Callithrix jacchus: one gene and its partners. The protein of the gene in region 5 purifies or fractionates together with the protein of the main gene of each other region. This does not show direct contact. Links are inferred from orthologs where the notes say so. Each region holds a gene or a part of one and is shown on either strand. Other genes may lie near its edges.

Region 1 (4,030 bases), about 9.3 Mb from region 5:
TTCTGGAAAAGCAGCCTCAAGTACACCAGGGATATTCTACGAGCAAGACCAACATGCAAGGGAATGAAAAAAGACTGTTTCAGCTTGACAATAAAATTTACCCAAAATCTCTCTAGTAAGCAGCTAGTTTCCTCCATCTCGAGAATAGATCCATTACTTGAATACGTCTCATAAAAGCACAACAGGTTATTCTGAAAGGAGGCACAGCATCACTAAAAAAGCAAGCCACTGAGACATGCTTGCAAATACCACTGGCCATCAGAATTCTGGAAGCTAGCACCACCATCCATCTAACGAGTTTACACACTGTACGTTCTAGTTTGCAGCTTGAAACCGAAATCTTGCAAGGCTGCTTGTAACATTAAGGTGAAACGGAAGGCATCAAAAAGAGTCTCAAAGTCTTGATGCAAGAGGAAGGCAGAGAAACTACAACACCCACTTTCCAGAAAACAGGTGTGGCCACAGATCCATTTCGCCTGCAGCAAAGATTCCCTTCGAAAGGATGGATCACGATGCATCTAAAGCCTGAGCATCACACACTCTCACACACACACATACACACACACACACACACACACACACACACACACACGAGTGGGGAAGGGGAGGGGCAGGCCCTGTAGAGCTGCCCAGAGTACAAAGTGCCAGTACAAAGCCAGTCCTCGGTAAATGCCGGCTACATGGTGCTTGTCATAAGTGCAACCTGGCCATGGCAATTTAACCCAACTGCTGCCTTCTCCCTGGCACGCTGGACAAGTACAAGGAGAGGGAGGAGCTACGGAAATCCAAGCAAAAAGCTGCAAAGTCCACTGCAAAGGTCCTAGCCGGAGACAGCCAAGTCAGGGCAAGAGCTGAGTGAAGTGTGGCCGTTCCCTACCCAAGTGAAACACCAGAGGAACAGAAGGCAGAACCGGCAGCTCAGAGGGCCGAGCAGCTCCAGTCAGCTGTCTACTCACCTAGGTGAGTCCAGATGCCTGAAACACCCTCAGGCAAGGCGCAGCAGACTGGCGGTCTTACAAAAGGAGCTCAACCCCTCCCAGCTCAGGCCCACCCACCCCACCCTTTGGGCTCTAAAAACATTAACAAGTAAAAGAAACAAAGAAACAAAAAAAACCCTTAACTTTAACATGCCTTTTAAGAATAGAGTTTCTTGACACTACACACCCACCAATTTCTACCTCAGTGGTGGGGTCTAGGCTTGAAATTTTCTTTTTTTTTTTTTTTTTTGGGTCGAGGCTGGAGTGCAGTGGCAAGATCTTGGCTCATTACAACCTCCGCCTCCGGAGTTCAAGCGATTTTCATGCTCAGCCTCCAGAGAAGCTGGGATTACAGGCGAGCACCACCATACCCGGCTAATTTTTTGCATTTTTAGTAAAGACGGGTTTTGCCATGTTGCCCAGGCTGATCTCGAAGTCCTGAGCTCAGCAATCTGCCTGCCTCAGCCTCCCCAAGTGCTGGATTACAGGTGTGAGCCACCACACCCAGCCCAAAGCTTGGCATTTTCATAAACACCCAGGAGTTTCTGTGAAGAATCACTTTAAGGGAACAGGAAGGTTGGCGACTTGATGCTGAAAAAGTGGGGGCCAAGAAGGTTCCATGCACGGTGATGAGGAGTTGACCGCCCCCGCCCAGGTGCGGCCTGGCTCCTCCTAGCAGCTGCTGCTTTTCATCCAGGTAAGCCTGACCACCTGAAGCCCAGCAACTAAAGCTCAGTATGCTCTCCTGGGCTGGATGCCACTGGCGGATTCCGGAGTCCCTCAGTCCCCAAGGTGGAGCCCAGGAATCGGCCTGCGGCATGCTGTCCAAGAGAGCATGCTGCGTGCAGACCGGAATGAATGTGCATCCCAAACAGCAGCCAGGTGGCCGGCCCGACAGCGGTGGGAACCCGGCGCTGCGCATCTCAGGTCCTGGACGGGCTCCCGGCCTGGGTCCTTCGCTTACCCATCTGTCTTCCCCACCGGCTAGCACCGCACCTGCCCAGGTCACAGCGTAAGCATTTGGGAGATAGGAAAACAGACCTGGGTAGCTGGAAACTTGCCTGCGAGACAGCAGGGAGGGTCGTTAGCGGGAAGTAACAGCCCAACCTCCGTCTAGTCCGGGAACGTAACCGCTCAAGATGGCTCTCGCAGACCGGCCAGGACTGGTCTGCGGCCCCGCGCGAGGAGGAGCGGGGGACCCTCCGTTCAGGAGCGAGGACCCGAACCCCAGGACCCCACCTAGCGAGGTGCAGCCTGGCTGCCTCCGGTTGGAGTGAGCGGCGGGAGCGGGCTGGGGCGTTTCTACGAAGGGAAGCGCCACGTCCGGGGACTGACTGGCTCGTGGGTCTGGTCCTTCCCTGGAGATGGAGGAAGAGGAGCGATGTGAGGCCGGGCGCGCCGCCGAGGGAGAGGCCCCAGTACCGGCGCTCGGGCCTTGTCAGCGGCCCGCCAGGGAATCGGAGGTGGGAGCGCCGGTGGGGGCGGGCGGGGTGCAGGGGCCTGCGCGCGCGGCCGTCCACCGAGGAGCCCGTGAGGGGGTCCCGGGCGGGGCCGCCGCAGTGGGGGTAGCGCCGGGGGCTGGGCCTGGCCGGAGGCCCGGCAAGGAACACGTGCGGCGGCCGGGGACGATGTGAGGGCTTCTGGCGCCGTCCCACTCCCCGCCTCGTGCCCCCCGGGCCGGGCGGCTGCCCACTTACCTGTCGGGCCGCGGCGGCGGGGCCGGGCGCTCGGGACGTCGCGTCGGCCGCCTCCTGGGCGGGAGCGCGGACTCTGCGCGACAAGGCGGCAGCTCCGGCGGGCGCCAGGCGGCGGGGGCGCAGTGCGCGTGCGCGAGGGGAGGGGGCGTTGTCCAAAGGCGGGGCGAGCGCACAAAGCCCGCCTCTCGGAGAAGCGCTACGGGCCGCGGCTGCGGCCAGAATGCCTCGGGCAGGCCCAACGCTTTAAAGGAACCGCGCCGGGAGCACGCTTCCCGCTTTAAAGCTTTAATCCCGAATTCAGCTGCCGCAGGCCCTTCTAATGCACTTCCTAAAAATGGAAGTATAATAATACATACAGGAAAGTGCTAGTGTGCTCTCGCGTTTCCAAGACTGAGTACGCCCTGCACACTGGGACCAGAGGCCCTCCGGGACCCGCGCAGGTGGCGTCGCCTGGCGTTGTCCCCGGAATCGAGGCGGACCGGGGCACCTCCCCGGGCGACCAGGCCCCTTCTGGATCATCGCCGGTACGGATGACAGCGGCAGTGGGCGTTTGGAAAGCACTTGGGGCCGCGCCCGGGCGCAGTGCCCCCCATGTGGCCGCCTACCCTGGGCGGGCAGGACGACTCCGGCCCATTTAGAAGCCCCAGAGCCTGCGCGTTCACTGAGCTCGGAAGCCCGGGCTGCGCCTCCCCGCGGGGCCGGCTGCTCTTCCCGCCTCTGCTGGCACAGAGCCAGCGGTGCGCGCACCTGCTCCTCCCCAGCCCCGCGGACTGGGAGAGCCGCGTTGGAGACACCCGCGCCCGCTCCGCAGTGCGCAAACTCACTTTGCACAGGGCTCTCTGGGGCCAACCCTTTCCTCCTGGGCGGGTATTTTCACCTACGGGTACAAGGGGGTGGTCCCCAGAGGAGGACCCCGGGGCCTAGAAGGTGAGGCCCGGTCGTCTAGCCCTGACTACTGTGCATTCTCGCCTCCTGCTTCACTTCTTAGAGCCTTGGAGGTAGGTACGGCCTCCCTACCCGCTCAACTAGGCCTGTGGGAAGAATAACATGCAGTCACTTATTCTCCAATTTAAAATGGGAACACAGAATATGACACAGGAACCCGTGCAAACAAAGGGACAGAGCATTTGAAATAAAAATGTCCGGGGAGAGTGAGGTGTGCGCTTGTCAGAAAGGCTGAACCGAAAGACTGGCAGATGGTCTGGAATCCCCTTCCCAGGAAGGACACAGAAGGGAAGGTTCCTGTGTGGTCCGGCAGGGCTGCGTGTGGATCTGTGTGCCCAAAAGGCCTGGTCCCTTGGGCCAGGTGCCCTGGAGCATGGAACAGTGACTGTCACAGGTTAGCAAACCAAGCTC
Region 2 (3,954 bases), on a different chromosome or scaffold from region 5:
TTAGAAGATGGTAATATTAGTATAGCACTTTTCTGAGTTGTTATAAAAATTATATATTATGAAGAATATTGGAATGTTTTATAAACTTCAAGTGTAACATCATATGGTTATAATTTTTTTTCCTTTTCCTATACTGTGCTGGGAATTAATTTTTTAAAAATTACGTATGATCACTTAATACCCTTTCTTTTGATTTTCTAGTCAGGGAATAATTTTCTGATAATTAGGCTTATGAAGTACCTTGAAACTAGAAAAGGGGTGCCCCAAACTATATTTTGGCTTCATGACCACATTACAAATTAATACATTTAATTTTTAATCTATAAATAAGAGCTCTTGCGCTTGACCATCGCTAGTCAAATTCATTCTTCAAGCTTGATCATCTCTTTGAGAATTGATGAATCCTTCCGAAATTGGCAAAGCTATAGAATAGAGTTCAAAGCAGAAAAGGTGTTAAGTGGGGGTTTTATGGGAGTAAACATTAGGTTTTGGCCTGAAGGGCAGTTTGTGAATATGCTACAAAATTAATTGGTTCTGATGTAGGACCACCTTTTCTGAGTTAGGAGATGGTATTTTTTTTTTCGTTTCCAATATACCATAGTTCGTATGAGGTGGAACCAGTAACTGTGATATAGACATGTCCCTGCCCCCTTTAAAATACCTCCTGTTTTTCCCACTCCTCCTGTCCCCAACAGTAGCAATAAGTTTAGCAAGAAAGGTCTTATCTTCTATCCCAAGGAAAATTCTAAGTACCATTTCCACTCCCAAGTAGGGCTTTTGGTTAAGCTGTATTTAAATTAGCATTCTTTTTCACTGGCCAGGAAAGGCTGGCAGTTCATTTGCAGGCAAATACCCTCGCTTTTTTTTTTTTTTTTTTTTTTTTTTTAATCTTCACAAAGTCACTCAGCAGGCGCATACTAAACGCTTGCTCCTTGGAGAAAGATTAAGCGGCTTCCCCAAGACCACACAGATCAAACAAGTGGGGGGAGGAGGGGCTGAAAGTGACTGGTATACCTCGCCACACTACCATAATTGCCCAAACCGTCTCATTCCGGGCTTTCAAGGGGACACGGAAGGAACGCCCGGGAGGTGAGCGCCAGGAGATCGGGAGAGGTGGCTTTCCCGGCATGCTCTGCAGCATACCGAGGGGCGCCAGGCGTATCCCGGCGTGCATCGGGGAGCGCCCAAGGGCGATGGTTCCCGGCTCCTGGAGAGGCGCGCGAAGTTAAGCCGGTAGGTGCGAGCTTCCTTAGCTTTGAGTCTCTGGTTTCTCGTTTCCTCTTTATGGGTTTAACCCCAGAACGGCAGAAAAGGAGGCCCTCTAACTACCCTCCCTTTCCGCGTGCGAACGACTCCTTGCCGCTTCGAGCTTGGTGCCAGGTGATTAGCGGGTAGGGGCGGGCCTGCGACCAGCACGTGACCCGAGATGGAAGCCAATGACTAGCCGGGTGGTCCAGCAGCGCGAGGATTCCGGGACCCGCGAGCGGAGCGGCGCGTGGGCCGGTTGCGGTCGGCCCTGGCAGGTACGCGCAGGCGCCTTGCTTGCCACGCGCTCCGCCCGTCTCCACGCGCCTGGTGGCGTGTTCTTGGCGCGAGGTGTTAAAGAGTCTGGGTGTTTTTGTGAGTTGGGGGGAAGGAGAAGGGGGGGGGAAGCTCATGCGTCACGTGGACGCCACAGCCAATCTGAGGCCGAGGCGCACCCACAGCTTTCTCCGGCGCCCCGGGGTGCGACGTGTTCAGTGAGGTTCGACTGGGCCCTGACGGTCTGAGCGCTCTTTCGAAGCGCGTGTGCCGCCTGTAAAATCTGGCCGCGGCTTTTCGTGGCGTCCTGCTCCGCGGTGAGCACAGACGACAAGTTCTCGGCAAAATGGCTGCTGGAAAGAGTCTCGGAGCAGGGGGAGCGCTGGGGCCGCGTGAAGGTCACATGATGAGGTTGGCAGCGCGTGCTGCTGGCGCGGGGAAGGGGGAGGGTGGGGGGGCGTGGCGGGTCACGTGCCTTCGACTGCGCCGGCCCGTGGTTTTCCAGCGTCTTTGCTGCGGTCGGATGGCCTGCTTTTACTCCTCCCATCTCGAAGCGTGGCAAGCGTCGGTGAGAAGTTGCGTGGTGTATTGGGATGAGCCAAGATCTGGGAATTCGGAGGCCTGGAGTCCAGGCCTTTAGCTAGTTTTGTAATTAGCAAGTCATGTTGCCATTCGTGGCCTCCATTTTCTCATTTATAGTTTAGCTCTGTAGAGATCACCTTTTAAGGTCCCTCATACGGCCTCTGACACCTAACTTCAATTTCATGTAGATAAAAAAAATTTAACAAATTCTTACAAATTATAATGAGACAGATCCCCGCCCCCCCCAAAAAAAAATCCGCAGCCACTCCCCTCTCAGTCGTTACAGTAATGTGGGAAACCTGGTGGAGGTAATTTGTTGTAATATTCTGGGCATGTCTGTCCATCTTTATCAATCCCATTTATCCTTTATAGCTGCTCACGAGCTCATTTCAAAAATACTGTCTTTTTTTTTTTTTTTTTTTTTTTTTTTTTTTGAGACGGAGTTTCGCTCTTGTTACCCAGGCTGGAGTGCAATGGCGCAATCTTGGCTCACCGCAACCTCCGCCTCCTGGGTTCAGGCAATTCTCCTGCCTCAACCTCCCGAGCAGCTGGGATTACAGGCACGCACCACCGTGCCCAGCTAATTTTTTGTAATTTTAGTAGAGACGGGGTTTCACCATGTTGACCAAGATGGTCTCGATCTGTTGACCTCGTGATCCACCCGCCTCGGCCTCCCAAGTGCTGGGATTACAGGCTTGAGCCACCACGCCCGGCCAAAAAAATACTGTCTTTTAAACATCTAATCCCTGTGTGTTTTCTGGGAGGAAATCAAAAGGTAACTCCTATTGTCATAACTGTGGAGATGAGGAAATAGTATTTAAAAGGGAAGTACTGATGCCCCATAATGCTGACTAGAAGGACCTAGAAGTTTCTTTTCCACTTGGTGGGCCCATCTTTGTAAAAGTTTAGAGACCTGGTACCCACCAACCTTTAGTATTTTTCTTCGTCTCTGCTTTCAGCTCCAGCTCTTCATTTCACCAAAGAAGGGTCAAGTCATTGGTGAAGAAAAACAAGCATAAATTGTATGTTTTCCATATCACTGCTTATGTTTTATGATGTCTTTGATGTATCTTAAAAAGAGGCTTCAAATGGGAACACATCTGGAAAATATTGAGCAGTCATTGTAACTGTCACTTTTGAATAATTATAGTATCTTTCTGGCATAGTGTTCTAAGTATTTTATACTGTATTTAATTCATTTAGTTCTCATAACAAACCTACAAGGTAAGTACTCCATTTTACCACTGAGGAATATAGCAACAGAGAAATAAGGCTGGCCATTTTACATAATTCCAACCAGATTTCCTTTTGAAAAGTTGACAAAATGATTCTAAAATTTATTTGAAAAAGTAAACCTAGAAAGTAAGAAAATTTTTGGAAGAGAAGAATGAGGAAAGGATTTGTGCTAGAGAATATACAAATAAATCTATGATAATCAAAATACAATAGCAACTGGAATAGACAGTAGTAAAACTGAATAGTCTAGAAATACATAAGGCTAGTTAATGTTATAAAGGTGATATTTCTTCTTTTTTTTTCTTCTTTCTGAGACAGAGTCTCACTCTGTTGCCCAGGGTGTAGTGCAGTGGCATGATCTCGGCTCACTGCAACCTCCATCTCCCGGTTTTAAGCAATTCTCCTGCCTCAGCCTCAAGAGTAGATGGGATTACAGGAGTGGGCCACCACGCCTGGCTAATTTTTGTATTTTTAGTAGAGACAAGGTTTCACCATGTTGGCCAGGCTGGTCTCGAACTCCTGACCTCAAGAGATCCTCCCACCTCAGCCTCCCAGAGTGCCAGGATTACAGGTGTGAGCCACTGTAGCCCAGCTATAAAGGTAGTGTTTCATATC
Region 3 (4,254 bases), on a different chromosome or scaffold from region 5:
CAGTGAGCTGAGTTTTTATCAAATTCTCATATTTTAAGACCACCAATACAGATGGTACCAATACACAGTTTGACTCTCAAATAACACACGTTTTAAATGTGTGGGTCCACTTATATGTCAATTTTCTTCACCCCCTACCACCCCTTATTTAGCAAAACCAATTCCTCCTCTTACTCTTCATCAGCCTACTCAATATGACGACAAGATAAAGACCTTTACGATGATCTAATTCCCCTCAATAAAGGCTATCTCTTATTTATGATTTTCTTAATAACATTTTCTTTTCTTTAGCTACTTTATTATAAGAATACAGTATCTAATACAGGTAAACATAAAAGAAGTGTTAATCAACTGTTTACATTATCAGTAAGGCTTCCAGGATACAGTAAACGTTTGAGGGAGTCAAAATTATATTCAGATTTTGAATTTCATGGGATTTGGTGCCCCAATCCCTGAGTCAAGGATCAAATGTAGATAGTAACAGAAGTCATGGGAGGAGTGAATGAACTCCCCTAAGAAGAATGTGTAGAGATGGTAGAAGAGAACCCGAATAACATCAACATATGGCCAGCTGCGGTGGGAAGAATGCTTGAGCCCAGGAGTTCAAGACCAGCCTGGGCCTTGTAGGGAGGCCTCCATCTCTAAAAATAAAAACTAAAAATTAGCCAGGTGTGGTGGCATGTGCCTATGGTCCCAGCTACTTGGGAGGCAGAGGCAGGAGGATCACTTTGGGAGGTCGAAGCTTCAGTAAGCCATAATCATGGCACTGCGCTCCAGCCAGGGTGACAGAGTGAGAGTCTGTCCCGGAGAAACAAACAAACAAAATCAACATGAAGGAATGGGAAGAGGATGAGGACAAGGAGAGGCCAGAGAAGCAGATGGAGTATCAATGTCAAGGAAACTCAAGGGAGAGTTGTGTCAAAACTACAACAGCTGATGGAAATGACAAGATTGTTCACAACCCAACAGCTGATGGAACTGACAAAATTGTCAGTTAGCAAGGTCTTCTTAGAGGTGTGCTTAGGGTAGGGGTCCCCAGGAGTGGGTTAGGTGGTAATAAGGGACGATCAAGTGTAACAGTGAGTGTAAATAACTTTTTCAAGTTTAGCTGTGAAGGGGAAGAGAGACAGTAGATGGGAGGGAATATGGGAGTGATCAATTAAGGGAGTGATCTTTTAAGATGGGGATGGATTTACAATGCAGTTTTAGTAGTGAAGAATGTATCATTTGGTTGAAACTTGGAGGTTCAACCCAAGTTTCTCCACTTACTATCTAGCCACAGGCAAGCCAGCATTACATACATCTCCAAGTCTGTTTTGGCAACCGTAAAACAAGAATAATCATCTTTTATTATAAAACACTGCTGCGAGAAATTAGGCAATGATCACAAACTATTTGGCATGGGGACCAGAATTAATGGCTTGGGAAATGTTTAATTACTAGTAGTTATAGGAAGAAAGCAGCAAAGAAATGAAAACTATGGGGAGAGGCTGGGGGCAGTGGCTCACGCCTGTAATCCCAGCACTTTGGGAGGCCGAGGCGGGTGGATCACCTGAGGTAGGAGTTCGAGACCAGCCTGGCCAACATGGTGAAACCCTATCCCTACTAAAAATACAAAAATTTGCCAGGTGTGGTGGCGCATGTCTATGATCCCAGCTACTTGGGAGGCTGAGGCAGGAGAATCGCTTGAACCTGGAAGGCGGAGGTTGCAGTGAGCTGAGATTGCGCCATTGCACTTCAGCCTGGGCAACAACAGTAAAACTCCATCTCGGGGGTGAAAGAAAACCCAGAAAGAAAGAAAGAAAAAGGATAAGAAAAAAAAAAAGAAAGAAAAAGAAAATACGAGAGAAATGGAAAAGGATGCATTTGTTAAGGGCCCTGAAAACTGCAGAGAGTAAAACTGCTGGTCGAGAACAAGAGTATAAAAAATCAGCTTTGGCAGGAAGGGGAGCCAAATCTCCTAAACATTTTCTCTGTCAAACAGGTGGGGAGATAATGTGCTGAACGGGAGCTGTGACGTGGGAAATATGAAGCGTGGACAAGGTTTTAAACGGCTGCAGTAGAGTAAAAGGATGGGAGAGGAGGCAGAAGAGAACAAATGATAGGTTGCAGAGGTACAGCTAGAGTTGGAAGAAGGAGAAAAACATGGATTTTCTAATGCAAAGTTGAGCAATTTTCTCCAACAGTGCCCTCAAGTTCCGACGTAAAAGGGAAGAAGACTGACACCACGTCTGCGAGCAGGCGCTGAAACCAGAAAGGCGGGAGAGCGCAGTTCGCAGCACGTGACGGGCAGCGCCTGGTCCAGGGGGAGCAAACGACCGAGACGACGACCCGAGGGGTTGGCGGCAGCGCGGGGAGGAGGGGGCCGGATCTGGGAGACCCCCGCCCGCGCCCGTCCCGTCCCGGCGCTTACCAGCAGGCCCTCCACGTTGATAGGGTCTCGGCACCGACGGCGAACTGTCTCCTCCGCCGGGTCCAGTAGGAGACTGGGCAACTTCCTCGCTGGCCGCTGCTGACTCATGTTGCCCAGCCGGGCGTCCCGCTCCCCTCGCACCCCGAGAGCTCTCCCGCCCTCTCGCGCCTAGCTCGAGCGCCGCCCCCCAAGCGCCGATTTCCAAGGGCCCAGCACTTAACGGGTCTGCGGCCTGCTCCGAGGCGCCGCCCGGCTAGGCCGTCCCGCCTGCGGGAAAACGCGCCACGGCTTCACGTGCCCTGGAGCTCCGGCCGCAGACGAGACAGGAGGAGGGAAACCCGCGCCTCTCAGGTCGCCTGGACCGCCATCTTCCCGCATGCGCACTGTACCGCCCCCCGCGCATGCCCTCCGCGGCCGGAACGCTCCCACGCAGCGATCCTCTCCTGGCTGCCGGAGCCTTGAAAACCCGGACCGCGGTGTTCACGGAGAGGACGGCAAAGGAAAAAGAAGAGGTGGAGCTGGATTTTAGAGGAAGGGGACGGGGGTGAGAGAATAGAAAGCAGCAGCCGGGGAAAACGCAGCGCCCGCCTGGAATTCTCGACGCTGATAACTGAAAGTTCTGAGCTGCACAGATGTTCATTTATTCTCTTTTTTAAAAAATAATTTTTTTTTGTCTCCCAGGCTGAAGTGTAGTGGTGTGGTCACAGCTCACTGCAGCCTCGAATCCCCAGGCTCAAGCAATCCTCCCACCTCAGCCTCCAGAGTAGCTGGGACTACAGGCGCGCTCCACTGCACCCAGCTAATCTTTCTTTCTCTCTCTCTTTCTTTCTTTCTTTCTTTCTCTTTCTTTCTTTCTTTCTTTCTTTTTCTTTCTTTCTTTCTTTCTTTTTCTTTCTTTCCTTTCTTCCCTTCCCTTCCTTCCCCTTCCTTCCCCTTCCTTCCTGCCTGCCTCTCTTTCTTTTCTTTTCTTTTGAGGTGGAGTTTTGCTTTCGTCACCCAGGCTGGAGTGCAATGGTGTGAGCTCATCTCAGTGCAACTTCCGCCTCCCGGTTCAAGCGATTCTCCTGCCTCAGCCTCCCAAGTAGCTGGGATTACAGGCATGCGCCACCACACCCGGCTAATTTTGTAGTTTTAGTAGAGATGGAGTTTCTCCATGTTGGTCAGGCTGGTCTCAAACTCCTGACCTCAGGTGATCCTCCTGCCTCTGCCTCCCAAAGTGCTGGGATTACAGGCATAAGCCACTGCGCCTGGCTAATTTTTAATTTTAATTTTAGTAGAGAAAAGGTCTCAGTATATGCCCCGGCTGGTCTTGAACTCTGGGGCTCAAGCCATCTTCCCACCTTGGTCTCCCAAGCGCTGGGATTTTAGGCATGAGCCACCACACCCAGGCTTCATTTATTCATGGCACAGGCTGGTCAGTGTTGATGCTTAGTAAATGTGGGTAACCAAACCTCTGTGGAATTGTTTTACTTCTCTCCTCCCTCCCTCCCTTCCTCTCTCCCTCCCTCCCTCCCTTCCTTCCTCCTTTCCTCCTGTTTGATGAATGAGTTATTGTTGACTTATTGTGTCAGGTAATGGGGTGGGTACAGGAGATATTTACTCATTTGAATATGCCATGGGTTCAACCTCCAATTTCAGTGGGGACAGATAAGTAAACAGAGCATGTTAATTAAGCTGGAGCTAGAAGGTGTGTTTTCAAATCTTGGCTGCTTCTACTTATAAACTAGAAGACCTTATTAGTCAGTTACTTAATCTGTCTGTGCCTCAGTCTCCTTGTCTGGAAAAGGCAAATAATGACAATACTTACTTGATAAGGTTGTTGTGAGGATTAAATGGATTAA
Region 4 (4,096 bases), on a different chromosome or scaffold from region 5:
AAATATTTTCAAGTGGTCAACTTGTGACCCTTCCCAAAATATTTAAATACCAATAAATAACAGATTCCAAAGGCTATCAACTGTGTGCAAAAAGAACTTAATTTTAATGGGAACACCTATTAGTTTGCTTTCTGTATCTATATTCAGCCTTAAAGCCTCACAGACAGCTAATTCCTTTCCCATCTAGTACTTGAAGGAGAATACAAGTACCTTTAGGCAATTACCTACACTTTGGTTTACCGATTATACAATCTGAAGGGCAACTCAATCCCGAGGCGCCATTGATGGTTCTCATCTTTACATAAAATACATGAGAATCATTTGCACCACAGACTCACCCCACAGGTTTCACATTACTTATCTCAATCTGTTTTCCAGGGTATCTGACTTAATGTACAATCCTAATGATGGCACGAATTAAAAATCACCAACCTGCCCGTTTTAGTGTGAAACCCAGAGAGAGCATATACAGACCAAAAACAAATGCTTTGCTTTGCTTAGGAGACATTAACACACTCACCTTTACACGCTTATGATTATTAATGCAATGTTAGAATTAAATGTGAGAACTAGAATTATGAATTTCGTGATTTTTATGTGACTATTCCAGCGTTTTAAAAAACTTGAAACTTGACATGGCTGAATATACGTATATCTTAAACTGCTGGAGAGGAAAATATTGGTCAAAAGATACAGAAGATCTAGTTTTTTCTCCCTCCCGGGTCATATTTGCGATTTCGATCATTTTGTGTTCAAATAACACAACACTGCAATGAATTAAATTTATGATTCATCTATAAGTTAGAGTAAGTTAAAACAAGATAAAGTGACCAAAGGAATTTGAAAGATTGACTTTTCCTCCAATCTAGGTGCACAGGGTACCTGGTTCTTTAAATTGGGCTTTAATGAAAATACTTCTGTACAATTCAGTGGATTTAAGAATTATGTCAACCAAAAAGGGGTATATCATTTTATGCAACATTTTTGCACGTTGCAAAAATGTGTGCATTTCTATTTGAAGATAAAAATCGTCAGCAAAATCCACATTGCACTGTTCAAAGATTAGCCTTTTTTAAACTAGTGAAGACACTATTAAGCCAAGTCAGTATCTCCATGTAATGATTTCATTCTGCTCTTAATTTTCCCCTATAATTATGCTGGGAGAGCTGGGAAATATGTGGATGTAAATTTCTCAGCCACAGAGATGCAAAGTTACACTTCTTTTGGGAAAAAGGCTTTAGTTAAATCCTTACACATTTTAGGTTTTAATTAACTTACCAATGTAGTTTTATTGGAGGCCATTTTTTATTGCAGACTTGAAGAGCTATTACTAGAAAAATGCACGACAGTTAAAATGTTTGCACGACACAAAAAAGAGTAGCTAAATATAAGTTTTGTTTGGATTCCAACCCCCAAGTAGGGAGCGCACATTTCAAACGTGGATACCAATTCTAGAGTAGATTTGCGCTCTTACTTAAATTGCCTCAGTATGTCTTCTAACCAAATGACCCTAAAAGACTTTACTGGGGATCTTGGTACCTAAGACAGCTTACATGGCTTAAAATAGGGGACAAGTGCCTTTTCCAATCGAAGTCCCATTTATAATAAAGTCCATGTCCCATTTTTACAGGACTGTAATTACCAACAACTCACAACGGTAAACCACCGTGAATCTTCTCTCTGCTCTGCAATCCTAACTTGGTTTCTGCTCAGAAACCCTCCCTCTTTCCAATCGGTAAATAACTAAAGGAAAAAAACTTAAGATGCTTCAGTCCCCGTTTCGTGACACCTTGAAGAAGCAATCACCTTCCATACACCCGCGCCCCCACTCCCCGCCCCCCAACCCCGGCGTCCCGAGGCCTAAGCGAGGGCGCCCGCCCCCACCCGGGAGCACGGGCCTCGTGGTCAGCTCATCCGCGGGGAGAAACAAAGGCCGTGTTGCAGGGGCTCAAGGGCACTGCGCCACACCGCCCGCGCAACCCCCGCGGCGGCCACGTAACGGGGCGGCCGCCGCACCCTTGGGACAGCGGGCCGCGCGCCGCCCGCCCGGAGGCCTAAGTCTCGGCCCAGCCCCGCGTGGCGGCCAGGGGAGGGGGGGCCCCTCCGCCAGAATGCTGGTGGGGGAGGGGAGGAGAAATGCGCTTTGTCTCGAAAGAGTGACGGTTGCCACAACTCTCTGCTCCCTCGAGGGCAGAACAGTCCCCCAATTAACTGCAGGCGCTAACCCGCGCCACGCCAGCCGCGAGGCCACCGCCCGACCTTCCGCTCCTTCCCGCAGCTCCAGGTGCGGGGTCTGGCGGGGAACGAAGGGAAGGGGAGCAAGGAACCGGGCCCCCGGAGCGTGTGTGGTATCTAAAACACCGCCACTGAACGAGGGCTAGACAAAAGGAAAACCACCGACTTCACCGCCTCCGAGGTGCTCCGGGTCGCGGGTCTGCGGCGTCTTCGGCCCTGCGCGCCAGCAGCTCCAGCCACATCCAAGTGGGGAGGGAGCCGGGAGCTGCGCAAGGGGCTGCGGTGGGGAGGGGCGGCACCGCCTACGCCGGGCGGCCACGAAAGGCGGGGCAGCGGGCGCGCGCCCGGCGGGAGGGGAGGGGCCGTGCGCCGCGCCCCCTGGGAACTGGGGCCCAAGGTGGGGAGGGCGGCTGCGACGACCGCGGCACTTACGGTTTGCAGCGTGGCTCCCGGTGGTCCCCCGAGGGGAGGGAGAGGGAAGGAGGGGCGAGGACAGCGACCTGAGTCTCTCGGCGGTGGCTTTTCTGCCCCGCAGCCTCTACGGCTGGCGCCAAAACCGGACTCCGCCTACTTCCTCGCCCCTGGGCGGGTGGGGGGTGGAATCCTCCAGACGCTGGGGGAGGGGGAGTTGGGAGCCTAAAAACAACTCGCTTTGGGACCCCTTTTGGCAGGGACTCCTGTACGCCAGAGGTCAGCCCCATAGGCGCGGGCCAGGGTTAGGTCAGTGCGGCGTGAATAGTAATTTGACTATAAGTTGATTCGGGTGTTTCCGGAAGGGGCCGAATGGGGGCACGGAAAACGAAAAGGGAAAGCTACGAAGATTTTTATGGCGGGAGAAGGAAGGAAGGTATCAAAGGCGTAGCTGCAGAGACCACCTCCCGTGTTGAGGGGGCTGGACCTCCGGGCTGCGGTTTAAGCTCCTCCCGTCGGCGTTAATTTCAAACTGCGCGACCGTTTCTCACCTGCCCTGCGCCAAGGCGGGGGCGGGGGGGGCGGGACCCTATTCTGAGAGGTAATAGGAGGCAGGCCTCGAGCCTTCCTCAATTCACTGAGCGCATTTACGGAAGTAACGTCTGGCACTGTCGCTAGCCGCGAGGTGGGGAGGGCTACGCATTTGGCGTAAGGCGGGGCGCAGAGCCTTCCCGCCATTGGCGGCGGTTAGGGCGTTTACGCAACGGCCTGACGTAGAGGAAGACGCGTTAGTCGGGGGGGAAGGTTCTAGAAAAGCGGCGGCAGCGGCTCTAGCGGCAGTAGCAGCAGCGCCGGGTCCCGAGCGGAGGTTCCCCTAGCGGTGTTGTTTCTCGAGCAGCGGCAGTTCTCACTACAGCGCCAGGACGAGTCCGGTTCGTGTTCGTCCGCGGAGATCTCTCTCATCTCGCTCGGCTGCGGGAAATCGGGCTGAAGCGACTGAGTCCGCGATGGAGGTAACGGGTTTGAAATCAATGAGTTATTGGAAAGGGCATGGCGAGGCCGTTGGCGCCTCAGTGGAAGTCGGCCAGCCGCCTCGGTGGGAGAGCGGCAGGAAATTGGACCGCTTCAGTAGCAGTGGGTTCTAGGTTTTTGAACAGGGTCTTGACAGAGGCCTGAGCGTACAAACAGCTTCCCCACCCTCAGCCTCCGGCGCCATTTCCCTTCACTGGGGGTGGGGGATGGGAAACTTTCACATGGCGGACGCAGCCCCGCTGGAGTGAAAGTGGGGCGCGGAGGCGGGAATTCTTATTCCCTTTTTAAAGCACGCTGCTTCGGGGGCTCCGGCGTTTCGGCGGCGAGCGTTTCGGCGGGCAGCGGGTCCTCGTGAGCGAGGCTGCGGAGCTTCCCCTTCCCCTCTCTCCCGGGAACCGGATTTGGCGGCCGCCATTTT
Region 5 (4,082 bases):
GCCATGGTGGCTCATGCCCCTTTAACCCAGCCCCTATAAACCCAGCACTTTGGGAGGCCAAGACAGGAGGACTGCTTGAGCCTGGGAGTTCAAGACCAGACTGGGCAACATAGGGAGACCTTTGTCTCCACAAAAAATGCAAAAAATTAGCTGGATGTGGTGATTAGGGAGGCTGAGGTGGGGTGGGAGGATCTCTTGAGCCAAGGAGCTCAAGGCTGCAGTGAGCTATGATTGTACCACTGCACTCCAGCCTCGGTAACAAACAGCAACCCTGTCTCAAAAAGATTTGGGGGAGAAGTAAGAGACAATACTGGCAAAGCACTCAGAATAGTCACTTGTGGCTGGGCGCATGGCTCATGCCTGTAATCCCAGTACTTTGGGAGGCCGAGGCAGGCGCATCACAAGGTCAAGAGATGGAGACCATCCTGGCCAATATGGCGAAACCCCATCTCTACTAAAAATACAAAAATTAGCTGGGTGTGGTAGCCTGTAATCCCAGCTACTTGGGAGGCTGAGGCAGGAGAATGGCTTGAACTCGGGAGGCAGAGACTGCAGTGAGTCAAGATCGAGCCACTGCACTCCAGCTTGGTAACAGAGCAAGACTCTGTCTCAAAGAAAAAAAAAAAGTCACTTGCATATAGTAAGTGGTCAATAAAGATTGCCAATAATTGCTAGTTGAAAGCATAGACTCTGGTTTGCCTGGGACTGAATGCTGGCTCTAACTCTTACTGTGTGATTTTGTGCATTTTTTATCTTGCTGCCCTCAGTTTCTTCATGGTTATGAAATAATCTTTCTTTAGAGAATCGTTATGAAGACTGAGATAAGATATGTAAAGACTAATTCTATTTCCAGCAGTCAATAACAGCTTTTTTGTTTGTTTGTTTTTTTAGAGACGGAGTTTCGCTCTTGTTACCCAGGCTGGAGTGCAATGGCGCTATCTCGGCTCACCCCAACCTCCGCCTCCTGGGTTCAAGCAATTCTCCTGCCTCAGCCTCCTGAGTAGCTGGGATTACAGGCACGCACCACCATGCCCAGCTAATTTTTTGTATTTTTAGTAGAGACGGGGTTTCACAATGTTGACCAGGATGGTCTCGATCTCTTGACCTCGTGATCCACCGGCCTCAGCCTCCCAAAGTGCTGGGATTACACGCTTGAGCCACCGCACCCGGCCTAATAACAGCTTTAAAAGTGTGACCTGCTATTCTTCTCCACATTATTATTCTCCTTTACCCTTGCAGAATGTTTGAGCTATTCCACTTTATATTTGCAACTACACATGCAAATATGCTAGAAAGGAAACAATTCAAATATAGGTACCCTTGTCAGGCAGGTTGGCAGAGACCACCTGGGAGGGTGAGGTGTGAAGATTGCTTGAGCTCAAGAGTTTGAGGCTGCAATGTGTTGTCATGCCTGTAAGTAGCCACTGCACTCCAACCAGGGCAACATAGGGACACCCAGTCTCTTAAAAATATAAGGTCCCCAGAAGCCAAATGATTAATGGATGAGGTGGTGCTGTGGCTCACACCTGTAATCCCAGCACTTTGGGAGGCCAAGGTAGGCAGATCACCTGAGGTCAGGAGTTTGAGACCAGTCTGACCAACATGGTGAAACTTAGTCTCTACTAAAAATACAAAAATTAGCCAGATGTGGTGGCACATCCCTGTAATGTCAGCTACTCGGGAGGTGGAGAGAGGAGAATTGCTTGAACCCAGGAGATGAAGGTTGCAGTGAGCAGATATCGCGCCACCATACTCTCGCTTTGAGACAAAGCGAGACTCTGTCTCAAAAAAAAAAAAAAAAAAAAAGAGTGGGGTGCAGATTGCAGTACAGTGGGACTGCATAACGGGCAAAGTTTTGGAGGTGGGCCGACTTAATGCCAACCTCCTTCACTTTCCACCTGGGGTAACTTCCTGTGGCGTCGCACCACCTCTAAGCCTCAGTGGCTTGAACGACAAAGACGTAAGAGTAATACAGGATTGCCGTGGGTGTACTAGAAGATAATGCATGTGAACGTTACAGACAAGGAGTGTTCACTCAACTTTAATCTCCCTTCACTTCCTACCTCATGTAACAGGCCTCACAAGCCCTAAAGAACACGGCCACGAGACAAAGATGACAAAGAAGATTCAGGAGCTGGCCGGGCGCGGTGGCTCACGCCTATAATCCCAGCACTTTGGGAGGCCGAGGCGGGTGGATCACGAGGTCGAGAGATCGAGACCACCCGGGTCAACATGGTGAAACCCCGTCTCTACTAAAAATACAAAAATTAGCTGGGTATGGTGGCGCGCGCCTGTAGTTCCAGCTACGTGGGAGGCTGAGGCAGGAGAATTGCTTGAACCCGGGAGGCGGAGGTTGCGGTGAGCCGAGATTGCGCCATTACACTCCAGTATGCGTAACAAGAGCGAAACTCCGTCTCGAAAAAAAAAAAAAAGAAGATTCAGGAGCTCTCAGATCCTAAACCTAGTTCCCCTTCCCCCAGACTAGGGACACCTGTTCCTCCCTGAACACCTTGCCTAACGTTGGCCCCAGCAGTAAAGGAACAAAAAGTAAAGCCAATCGCCTCTGGCCCTGGCTCAGTTTACCTACCTCAGCTTATCCATCCTTCCACCCTCCACCCTCCAGGCGTCGCTAAAAGGCCTCAAGAAGGATCCACGGAGCGAGGCTCTCGGGGTTCCCTTTCCCAGTCACGCTAAGTCCTCTCCCTCTCACCTCATTACGCGGGGGCTTCTCCATGAGACCTAATTCAGTTTCTCCCAGCGTCACCAAGTGCAGGAAGCCATATTGGCCTCGTCGCTCTCCGTGAGAGCAGTCATTGGCAGCCTCCCTGAGCCGTGGGCCAATCACGCTGCAGGAAGGAGAAAAAGCCGGTTCCGTGCCTGCTCACGCCCTTCCCTCCCTGTGGGCGGGGAAGCCGCGGGCTGTTGTGGGAATTGTAGTTCGCCCTGGATGTGCAGGGTGGGACGTTACCAGTAGCGACGTGGAAATCAGGGGCGCCGGCCCTGGCGCGCCTCACCCCAACTGTTCCAAGTAGGCCAACCACTTGACTTCAATTCTTTATTCTTCACTAAACGGTTATTGCGCACCTACAATAGTCACTGTTCCAGATTCCAGGAATAACCTTGTACTTTCCCGGGTTAGACATTTAAGGTGCCCTTTTGCTGGGATGCATAGCAGAGGAATTCATTTCCAGCGAGACAAAGTCTAGCTCCTTTGTCCAGGCGGAGTGCAGTGGCGCAAACTCGGCTCACTGCAATCTCCGCCTCCCAGGTTCAAGTGATTCTCCTGCCTCAGCCTCCCAAGTAGCTGGGATTACAGGCGCGTGCCACTACTCCTGGCTAATTTTGTGTTTTTAGTAGAGACCGGGTTTCTCCAAGTTAGCCAGGCTGATCTCAAACTCCTGACCTCAGGTGATCTGCCCACCTCGGCCTCTCAAAATGCTGGGATTACAGACATTAGCCACCGCGCGCAGCCAGAAACTGTAATATTCTTTTTCTTTTCTTTTCTTAAATCATTTGTATTATTTTTATTTTGAGATGGAGGCTTGCTGTGATGCCCTGGCTGGAGTGCAGTGGCAGGATCTCAACTCACTGTAACCTCCGCCTCTCAGGTTCAAGTAATTATCTGCCTCAGCCTCCCAAGTAGCTGGGATTACAGGTGTCTGCCACCACGCCCGACTAATTTTTGTATTTTTTAGTAGAAACAGGGTTTCATCATCTTGGCCAGGCTGGTCTTGAACTCTTGACCTTGTGATCCACCTGCCTCAGCCTCCCAAAGTGCTGGGATTCCAGTTGTGAGCCACTGTGCCCAGCTGAAACTGGAATATTCTTATGCTCAATGCTATAAATGTCTAGCCTACTCAAAATCTTGCAACATTCGTCCTTCACCACTCTCTCCTGGGTAAAAAACCTCGAATCTGAGGCTCTCTGCCTCATCCCATTAGGGTTTCCCACACCTCCTTACACACCTTGAGTTCTGGGCGCTGTTGTGGAGTTTGCAAACATCTTCTCAAACCCTTACATATCCTATCACTGTTTGAAAGAAGAGGGACTTGGTGGCTCTTCAGGTTTAGACACTTTCCAAG
Region 6 (4,244 bases), on a different chromosome or scaffold from region 5:
CTAGGATCTAAAACACAAACCTTAAATGCAGAATAAAATGCCAACGCTCTGCCTCCTTAAAGAAACATACAACCCCAAGAACTGCTGAACGCCATCAAAGCAACACCCGCCAGAGTGGATGTTTGAAAAATTGTATCAGGGAATCATGATAAGTGCTAGCAGATCCTCTAGGCCTCAGCAGCAGCCTTAGGTATAAGAGCAAACTGGAGCCCTCTTAACACTCAAAGAATAATGTTGATGTCATGACGAGGCTACTGCTTCTCCGCACTCCGGACAAGTCATTCCTTGATCCACCGCACAATTCTTTCCCCACCCAACCCCATCCCCGCATATAAAAAGATCTCCATACAGAGAAGCCCTCGGGTACCCCCTCCTCCTCTACCTCCAGCGGCTGCCGCTTTCTCCTCCCTCGGGCTCCAAGGTGGGGGCTCCAGAAGGTCCTGGGCAATCCCGAGCCCCGGCGGGGCTTGTTTTGCCCGTGCAGGATAGCTCTGGCCAGCCGCTTCCTTTCTCAGTTTGTCCAAACTGGAGCGCTCCAGGGTACCCGGGAGCCGAGGAGGGAGCTGGGGTGGCGACGTCGCCGTCGCCGCCGCCTCTGGTATGTCAGGGGCCGGGATTGTATTTCGAAAGATCCGCCATTTTCACCTCGTCATCACCATCACAGCTCAGCAGCTTCCCCGACAGCCGGAGCCCGGGCCGCAGCCGCCGCCACCAGTAACCTCCCCCTTCCTCCTCCTCCCCTCCCCGCGCCCCTCCCGGGAGGCGCACACCCACATATCCGGGGAAGCCTCCCGCCGCCCCGCCAACCTTCAAATGCACACGGGCCGAGCAAGTGCACACGGGCTACGCCGAGACCTTTCACCCCCAGGCGGGGACGCCAAAGGAAGTCGCACCACCTGCGGGGTCCCAGGTCCGGCATATTTTTGTTTGGAAGAGCAAAAGCCATGCAGAAGGTGGCACAAGGACAATAAAGAACCCAAACTCTTTCATTTTCAGAGCAGCAACTTGAAAGAGATGGTGGAATGCGCTTCATTCACTGTGGCTATCCCAGGCACTAAAAACATTATTGTGAAGACCCTTGGTGTTATTCACCAACTTTGACATTTTACCCCACCCAGAGAACTACTTTGACAGGATGAGCTATTTCCATATGCATGTTTGATCTTTGACACCTTTGTCAATTACAGACAGTAATCCTCATGCAGATGAGGTCATCAAAACACCTAATTTTTACAAATAAAGTTTTGAGCTATCTTCCTCTCCAACAATTTTATCTGGTCATTTCTGACCCTGAACACAGCGACTTCCAATCTGTCATCGGTTTAAGACGTCAAAGCGCAACTAGATTTAAAATGTACTTAACTACTTGTAGAAACATTCATCAATGATGAATTTTTAAAATATTGAAAATATAACTCGAAGTTAAAATTCTTTGCCAAATGTTTTTAGGATCTAAGTAATCAAATTAAAAAAAAAAATCTGCTGCTGATATATTTGCTCAATACAGTGAAAATAAACAGCTTGCTTCAGAACAAGACGACCCTAGAGTTACTAGGTAGGTAAGAGTTACCAGCTCTTGTCATCAGTCAGCTGAATGAGTAAACAAAAGAGAACACAAGTTAATTCTTAATCATCTAAAAAATAAAATATAAGCTGCAAGGCTTGTAATGAGACCAGTGTTAAAAAAAAAAAAAGGAAACTGGCTGCCATTTCAGAAAGCGTTAACCATTCAAAAGCTGAATTCTTTACCATTTAACTGCAACATAAGCTCTAAAAGATCTATCTGAAATGGGCAAAATTAATTTCAAGGTTGTGAACAGGGCCACTCTACTATCCAAGTTAGTGTAAGAAGATTAAGGTTGAAGTTGAAAAAGTCATTTCATTTCCCTACCTTGTTTCAATGACAACTCCAGATAAAAGTGGGTAGATTCAGCCTTTAGCAAATGCTGTCTACCACCCACCCCAATGACTGTTTTTATATGCAGACTGCCAGATGCTGAGCGTGTAAACTGTTCTCAATATCTTCATCTTTAAACTTTATTTCCCCACTGACTGCCCAGTCCATCCGCACTCTGCTTGGTTGTTTACCGTTGTTGGCCAAGCTAAGTCCCGGCCCGCTCCCTTCCCCCGTGCACATCGGGAACATTATGACATTTGGCTGGTGGGCTTCGCGAGGAAAACGGACACGCACGAACGAGAGCCCGTACAAAGGGGCGTAGGAAGAACGCGGCGGCGGGCAGCAGGGAGAGGAGGGACTGGCACAAAATGACACAGCAGCAAAACCGGTTCTCAGAAACCCAGGGCCGCCACGGCCGGCTTCTTGGGTAGCGCAGCGTGCGTGTCAACAGCCGCGGGAGCCCTTCCTCCAGACCGCCGAGCAGGCGGCCGGCCGAGCGCTGGCCCTGCCGAGTGACAGCCACCCTCCCGGGAGCCGGCGGGAAGAGGCCGAGCCCAGAGGATCCTCCGCCCCCCGCGGCCCAGGGAAGGGGCGCGGCGGACCCCGCCTGAGGGTTCCCGCTCCCTGCCGAGGCCCACCGGCCGGGGATCCCGGAGGGAGCGGTCCTGCGCTCTCCGCCCGCGCAGCCACTGGCAGCGGGGGCCAGTTCCCCCTTCCCGCCCGCCCGCCCAGAAGACCCCATCCCAGGGGCTGACACTCACCAAAGCCGGCGGCGCCGCCGCCTCCTGGTCGCGCGGCGCTCCCTGGGCTCCCAGCAGCCGCGGCGGCGGCGGCGCCTCCGAGACACAGACCAGGGTTTGTTCAAAATCACGCGCCCAGCGCCATTCCACCGCCGCATCCCATAATACGCCGGGCCCTCCCCCGCCCGCGCGCCGCTCTCTGCCCGCCCCTGCGCTCCGCACCCCGCCCCACGGCCGGCTTCCTTCGCTCCGCCTCTTCCGCGGCGCCTCGCCCCGCCCCTTGGCAACCTGAGCGCGCGTCATTCCTCCAGGCTCCGCCTGGGCGCTGCGGCTCCACGTGACTCCGAGTGGCGCCCAGTCAAAGCGATCGCACGGAATGTTCCATCGGACTGAAGCTTGGGGGGAGGACCCGCATCGCGCTGCGGGTGGGAGAGACCGTCCCTTCGTCTAGCTTTCCTTGTTAGGGAGTCGGGACTGTAGGTGCGATTTCCAGCGTATCCTGCTCTTTGATGTGCTTGAGTGAGGGGGTGACCAGTAGTCACAAATGGCAAGTCACTGTGTTTTTTAGGCACTAATTTTGCAAGGGTCGCTAAAAATCCTCAGGGAGATCATTGAAAGTTAAACTTATTTTGATAGAGACCTTTTGCTTTTCTTACAACACACAGCTAAAACTAACACAGTCAAAATTATTTGTATTTAATCACCTTTTATTTTTTTCCCGCGATTTATATGATATCCAAATACGGAGTCGGATGAACAGATACTGAGAGATTATTCTGAGAAAAAAAGATTATTCTGAGAGATTATTATTAACTGCTGTATGTGAGATAAGAACTACATAGATGAAACAATAGAAAATACAATAGTGTAAATGTAAGGTGTGGTACAGTTATAATTTGCTAATGGAGCGCGGAGGACGTAAGGTCAGCATGAGAGACCACCTAGGGAACACAATGGAGGAGGCGAAACAGTGTAGTGGAAGCAGCAATCACTTTGGAATCATGCAGTACTAGTATTTAGTGGCACCTCCGTTTATTAGTGTATAACGTTTATTTTCCTATTCAGCAAATAAAAATAACGAAACTTCCCAGGATTCTGATGGTTAAATAAAATGAAGGGTGTTAAGCAAGTACACAGTCTCTGCCTGAAATGTTAGTTCCCTTGTGCCATAATCATCAACACCCCGTACCAGCCCAAACTCTAATAGGATTTAACAAGGCAAATGTCATGAAATTAGCAAAGCCTTGAAAATGGGAAGGTCTGTGACATGTGCAAGGAATGTGATAAAGTTGAATGGTATAAAGGCTTTGTTGGAGATCAACATTGTGAGCCCACTTTATGAGGAACCTTGAGAGCTAGTGTGAGAGATCCTCACTGTAAAATGATTGATGGTGCTGTTGAGGCACCTCTGGAAGAAGAGAGTGAGATGAAGTACCCAAAACTGGCTGGATTTTAGAGAGACCAAAAAAGGGAGAAATGTTCCCAGTTTATTCCACAAGGCAGCATAACTCTCATACTAAAACCCAAGGCAAACAGTACCCAAAAGAGAGAACAGAAATTTCCTTTCTCACTAGGATTTTTTTATGAAGGCAAAATTGAGTATTTAG
Region 7 (3,980 bases), on a different chromosome or scaffold from region 5:
GCCACCGCGCCCAACCAAAATTTCTATCTTCTAAACTGCCTACTGGATGCCTCTATTTGGATGTCCCCTAAACATCTTAACAGTTATCAATAGCTATTTCTAAAAAAAACAAAAAACAATGGCTTAGGCCTGTAATCCCAGCACTTTGGGAGGCCGAGGTGGCAGGATTGCTTGAGGCCAGGCCCAGGAGTTCAAGACCAGCCTGGGTAATATATTGAGACCCTGTCTCTAGAAATTAAAAGAAAAAAAAAGTTATCAACTGACATGGCATTCTCCAAACCTCTAAACACTCACTATCAAATTGCCAACACCAGATGCTGGGCACTGTGGCTCATGCCTGTAATCCTAGCACTTTGGGAGGCTGAGGCAGGCAGACCACTGGAGGTCAGGAGTTTAAGACCAGCCTGGCCAATATGGTGAAACCCCATCTATAATAAAAATATAAAAATTAGCCAGGCATGGTGGTACACACCTGTAATTCCAGCAACTCAGGAGGCTGAAGCAGGAGAATCCCTTGAATCCGAGAGGTGGAGGTTGCAGTTGCAGTGAGCCAAGATCATGCTACTGTACTCTCACCTGGGTGACGAAGCTAGATTCCATCTCGGAAAAAAAAAAAAAAAATTGCCCACACCAGGAACTTGGGATCCATGTCTTCTCCCTTACCCCTACAGTCATGAACTTCTTTTTTTTGTTTGTTTTTGTTTTTTTGAGACAGAGTCTCGCTCTGTCGCCCAGGCTGGAGTGCAGTGGCGTGATATTGGCTCACTACAACCTTTGCCTCCCAGGTTCAAGCGATTCTCCTGCCTCAGCCTCCTGAGTAGCTGAGATTACAGGCACGTGCCACCATGCCCAGCTAATTTTTGTATTTTTAGTAGAGATGGGGTCTCGACATGTTAGTCACCCATGATCCACCTGCCTCAGCCTCCCAAAGTGCTGGGATTACAGGTGTGAGCCACCTCACCAAGCCTAATTTTTGTATTTTTAGTGGAGACGGGGTCTCACTATGTTGGTCAGGCTGGTCTTGAACTCCTGGCCTCAAGTGATCTGCCTGCCTCGGCCTCCCAAAGTACTGGGATTAAAGGAGTGAGCCAGAGCACCCGGCCCCCATGACTTTAATTTCTAAGGTATGAACCTGATGATGTCACTAACCTGCATAAAACTTCAATCATTCACAAGTGCCCTCAATAAAGTCCAACTTCCTTGGGACAGCATGCCCAGCCCTTCATGGTCTGGTCCCTATTTACAACTCTTTTTTTTTTTTTTTTTTGCGACAGTTTCACTCTTGTCACCTAGGCTGAAGTGCAATGGCGTGATCTCAGCTCACTGCAACCTCTGCCTCCCAGGTTCTAAGGGATTCTCCTGCCTCAGGCTCCAGAGTAGCTGGGATTACAGGCACACACCACCATGCCTGGCTGGTCCCTATTTATTTCTGCAGCCTCATTATTTGCAACCCTTCCCTCGTCCCTGCTCCCCACCTTCTACACTAGGCCCCCAAATCTATGCCTCAGCCATACTGTTACAAAGCCTGTCTTTCTTCCTCTTTCTTTCTTTGAGACAAGAGTCTCCCTCTTTTTTTTTTTTTTTTTTTTTTTTGAGACAGCCTCCCTCTGTCGCCCAGGCTGAAGTCCAGTGGCCTGATCTCATCTCACTGCAACCTCCACCTCCTGAGTTCAAGCAATTCTCTTGCCTCAGCCTCCCAAGCAGTTGGGATTATAGGCACGTGCCACCACGCCTGGCTACTTTTTATATTTTTTGCAGAGGCAGGGTTTTGTCATGTTGGCCAGGCTGGTCTCAAATTCTTGACCTCAAGTGATCCACTCGCCTTGGCCTCCCAAAGTGCTGGGATTACAGGCGTGAGCCACCGTGCCCGGTCAAATGATTGTTTTTCAAAGGTGTTGTCCTCTTTCTTGTCTCTGAACTTGCTGTTATGTTTGCCTTTCCCGTGCCTGGCTAAGAACTCCTGTTTTTCAGGACCTAACTGAGATGGTCCTGAAATGTCCCCTCCTTCGCTGACTCCACAGGTGGAGTTCAGTGCCTCTAATCTGTGTTCCCCTAACACTCTGAGCTCTGACAAGGAGAGAACTTCGGTCGTTGGGAAGGGTGACCCGATCATCCCCACGGCCCCAGCCCCTCAACACTTTCTCGAACACAGTAACCAGTTTGAGAGATCAAGTGAGAAGTGTGTTCTAACAGGTTGCATCCTTCTCCTTGCAACCCCAGGCGCCCCAACGTCACAGCAGCAACCGCAGGCCCAGCTCAGAGGCTGGGGGAGGGGAGGCGGGCGACCAGTCGTGCACGACTCTTCCCTCAGAAAAGATGAGGAAGGGACGGGGCAGGGAAGAGCTTTGGGTTCTCGGCTGGAAAATTTATCCTCGCAGCCGTCTCCATCAGATCCAGCCTCCCCTCTAGGAGTCCCACTCAAACTCTCCCTATCGGACTTCCTCAGAATCTCTCCACCAAGATTATCTCAGGCTTCCCCCACGCGATCCCCTCTTGGTCTCAGCCTCGATCTTCTTTTCTCGCAGCCTCCTCCCTCAGCCTCGACTTCCCCCTCGCAGCCTCCTCTCCGAGCCTCTCCCCAGCGCCTCAGCCTCCCGCAGCCTCCCCTCGGCGCTCCAGCCTCAGCCTCCAGGTCCCGGGTCCGGCCCGGCCCGGCCCCGCCCCCGCCGCGAGGACGGTGCTCACCGTCGTAGTAGTAACAGACTTTCCTCCGGGTGCCCTGCGTCTGCGCCATCTTGCTCGCCTCCCGTCCCTCCCGTCAGTCGGTCCGTCAGCCCTCCCGCCCGCGGCTCCGCTCAGCGTCCGACCCAGGGGGGAGGGGGCGGGTCTCCGGCCCGCCCCGCCCGTCCCCTCCTGGGCTCACCTATAGACGCGCAGCCCGGGCACCGCTCCAGCCAATCAGCTTGCGCAGACACGGGCCCGGAACTCGGCAGGGGGCAAGGGCAGCCTGGAGAAGCGGCTAAAGGCCCCCTGGGCCTGTACCAAGGTCTGCGACAGATGGGTGGGGAGCCGCCCGGGGACCGTACCATCACTCCCGGGGGAGGAAAGCAGCTTGGTAAACTTAGGCCCACTTCGTCGTGGGAAACGTGCTTGGAGATCGGAGGCCAACTTTCTGATTTTACGGAGAATAAACCGAGGCCTACAGGGGAAAAGTGACTTGCACAAGGTCACTCCGCCAATAAACGGGCTGAACCTGGGTTAGAAAGCGAGTTTGTCACCGCAAAGGAGGGCTACAGACAAATAATTAAAAATTGAAAAGAAAAGCAACACGCGGGTTTGGAGAGGGAGAAACTGACAAGAAAGGGAAAGAAAACTAATGTTTTTTCGAGGGGCTGCTGTGAGCCAAGTACTGTGCGACAGCTTTAACTGTTATTTCAGTTATTCCTCAAAACAGCTCTCGGTCAAGGGTTTTTACTTCCATTTTACAGGTTAGGAAAAAGAAGTTCGGACTTCTGTGAATTACTCCAAGTTACACAAGGTAATTAAATTCAATTTTTCAATTGTTGAGGATTTTTTGAATGCCTTCTTTGCACCAGAGGCTCTGTAAAAAAGTGACAGAACCCAGCCTTTCTGACTCCAAAACCTACCTCCGTGATTCAGTCACCCAGGATGACTAAGTAGGAGTCTCTTTAGACAGGAGAAAATGGGATTATCCCGCGATAGGAGGGCAGGTTTCTCAGCCTGGAAACTAATGACATTTTGAGCCGGGTAATTCGTTGTTATAGGACGCTGTTCTGTGCATTATAGGAAGTCTACCGGCATCCCTGGCCTCTACCCACTAGATGCCAGTAGCACCCTCCCCCCAGGCTGTGACAACCAAAATTGTCTCCAGACATTGCCAAGTACTGTGCAATAGCTTTACCATTGGGTTGGGGGAATATTAGCCAGGTATAAGGGAGTGTAAAATTGACCCCAACTCTCCTATTGAGAACCACTCCACCAGATCATCAATTACCAACTGATCATCATTGAAAGCTAAA

What was found.
Region 1: the proteins of L3MBTL2 (region 5) and WDR5 purify together in Homo sapiens (affinity purification with mass spectrometry; 4 studies listed by BioGRID and IntAct, counting the BioPlex papers as one, with this or other methods). This does not show direct contact. The link is inferred for Callithrix jacchus from reciprocal best matches to the Homo sapiens genes L3MBTL2 and WDR5.
Region 2: the proteins of L3MBTL2 (region 5) and MGA purify together in Homo sapiens (affinity purification with mass spectrometry; 3 studies listed by BioGRID and IntAct, counting the BioPlex papers as one, with this or other methods). This does not show direct contact. The link is inferred for Callithrix jacchus from reciprocal best matches to the Homo sapiens genes L3MBTL2 and MGA.
Region 3: the proteins of L3MBTL2 (region 5) and E2F6 purify together in Homo sapiens (affinity purification with mass spectrometry; 5 studies listed by BioGRID and IntAct, counting the BioPlex papers as one, with this or other methods). This does not show direct contact. The link is inferred for Callithrix jacchus from reciprocal best matches to the Homo sapiens genes L3MBTL2 and E2F6.
Region 4: the proteins of L3MBTL2 (region 5) and CBX3 purify together in Homo sapiens (affinity purification with mass spectrometry; 5 studies listed by BioGRID and IntAct, with this or other methods). This does not show direct contact. The link is inferred for Callithrix jacchus from reciprocal best matches to the Homo sapiens genes L3MBTL2 and CBX3.
Region 6: the proteins of L3MBTL2 (region 5) and LIN54 purify together in Homo sapiens (affinity purification with mass spectrometry; 3 studies listed by BioGRID and IntAct, counting the BioPlex papers as one, with this or other methods). This does not show direct contact. The link is inferred for Callithrix jacchus from reciprocal best matches to the Homo sapiens genes L3MBTL2 and LIN54.
Region 7: the proteins of L3MBTL2 (region 5) and HDAC1 purify together in Homo sapiens (affinity purification with mass spectrometry; 3 studies listed by BioGRID and IntAct, counting the BioPlex papers as one, with this or other methods). This does not show direct contact. The link is inferred for Callithrix jacchus from reciprocal best matches to the Homo sapiens genes L3MBTL2 and HDAC1.

What each region holds. Positions count from the first base shown.
Region 1 is NC_133502.1:182,702,722-182,706,751, reverse strand, and holds the start of WDR5 (WD repeat-containing protein 5), read right to left. Parts: upstream 2,801-4,030; 5' UTR 2,675-2,800; intron 2,336-2,674; 5' UTR 2,217-2,335; exon of another isoform or gene 2,019-2,216; intron 1-2,018.
Region 2 is NC_133509.1:44,984,519-44,988,472, reverse strand, and holds the start of MGA (MAX gene-associated protein), read left to right. Parts: upstream 1-1,154; 5' UTR 1,155-1,233; intron 1,234-1,442; exon of another isoform or gene 1,443-1,523; intron 1,524-1,985; exon of another isoform or gene 1,986-2,089; intron 2,090-3,062; exon of another isoform or gene 3,063-3,125; intron 3,126-3,954. UniProt on the Homo sapiens protein: Functions as a dual-specificity transcription factor, regulating the expression of both MAX-network and T-box family target genes. Functions as a repressor or an activator.
Region 3 is NC_133515.1:103,581,233-103,585,486, reverse strand, and holds the start of E2F6 (transcription factor E2F6), read right to left. Parts: upstream 2,801-4,254; 5' UTR 2,522-2,800; coding exon 2,414-2,521; intron 1-2,413. UniProt on the Homo sapiens protein: Inhibitor of E2F-dependent transcription. Binds DNA cooperatively with DP proteins through the E2 recognition site, 5'-TTTC[CG]CGC-3'. Has a preference for the 5'-TTTCCCGC-3' E2F recognition site.
Region 4 is NC_133512.1:31,898,891-31,902,986, forward strand, and holds the start of CBX3 (chromobox protein homolog 3), read right to left. Parts: upstream 2,801-4,096; 5' UTR 2,668-2,800; intron 2,484-2,667; exon of another isoform or gene 2,398-2,483; intron 2,334-2,397; exon of another isoform or gene 1,885-2,333; intron 1,331-1,884; 5' UTR 1,303-1,330; coding exon 1,279-1,302; intron 1-1,278. Other genes in the region: HNRNPA2B1 (heterogeneous nuclear ribonucleoproteins A2/B1), read left to right, coding at 3,654-3,659.
Region 5 is NC_133502.1:192,009,236-192,013,317, reverse strand, and holds the start of L3MBTL2 (lethal(3)malignant brain tumor-like protein 2), read right to left. Parts: upstream 2,801-4,082; 5' UTR 2,735-2,800; coding exon 2,711-2,734; intron 1-2,710. UniProt on the Homo sapiens protein: Putative Polycomb group (PcG) protein. PcG proteins maintain the transcriptionally repressive state of genes, probably via a modification of chromatin, rendering it heritably changed in its expressibility.
Region 6 is NC_133504.1:114,780,655-114,784,898, reverse strand, and holds the start of LIN54 (protein lin-54 homolog), read right to left. Parts: upstream 2,801-4,244; 5' UTR 2,659-2,800; intron 2,096-2,658; exon of another isoform or gene 1,892-2,095; intron 861-1,891; exon of another isoform or gene 808-860; intron 717-807; exon of another isoform or gene 383-716; intron 1-382. UniProt on the Homo sapiens protein: Component of the DREAM complex, a multiprotein complex that can both act as a transcription activator or repressor depending on the context. In G0 phase, the complex binds to more than 800 promoters and is required for repression of E2F target genes.
Region 7 is NC_133508.1:68,904,167-68,908,146, reverse strand, and holds the start of HDAC1 (histone deacetylase 1), read right to left. Parts: upstream 2,801-3,980; 5' UTR 2,735-2,800; coding exon 2,686-2,734; intron 1-2,685. UniProt on the Homo sapiens protein: Histone deacetylase that catalyzes the deacetylation of lysine residues on the N-terminal part of the core histones (H2A, H2B, H3 and H4).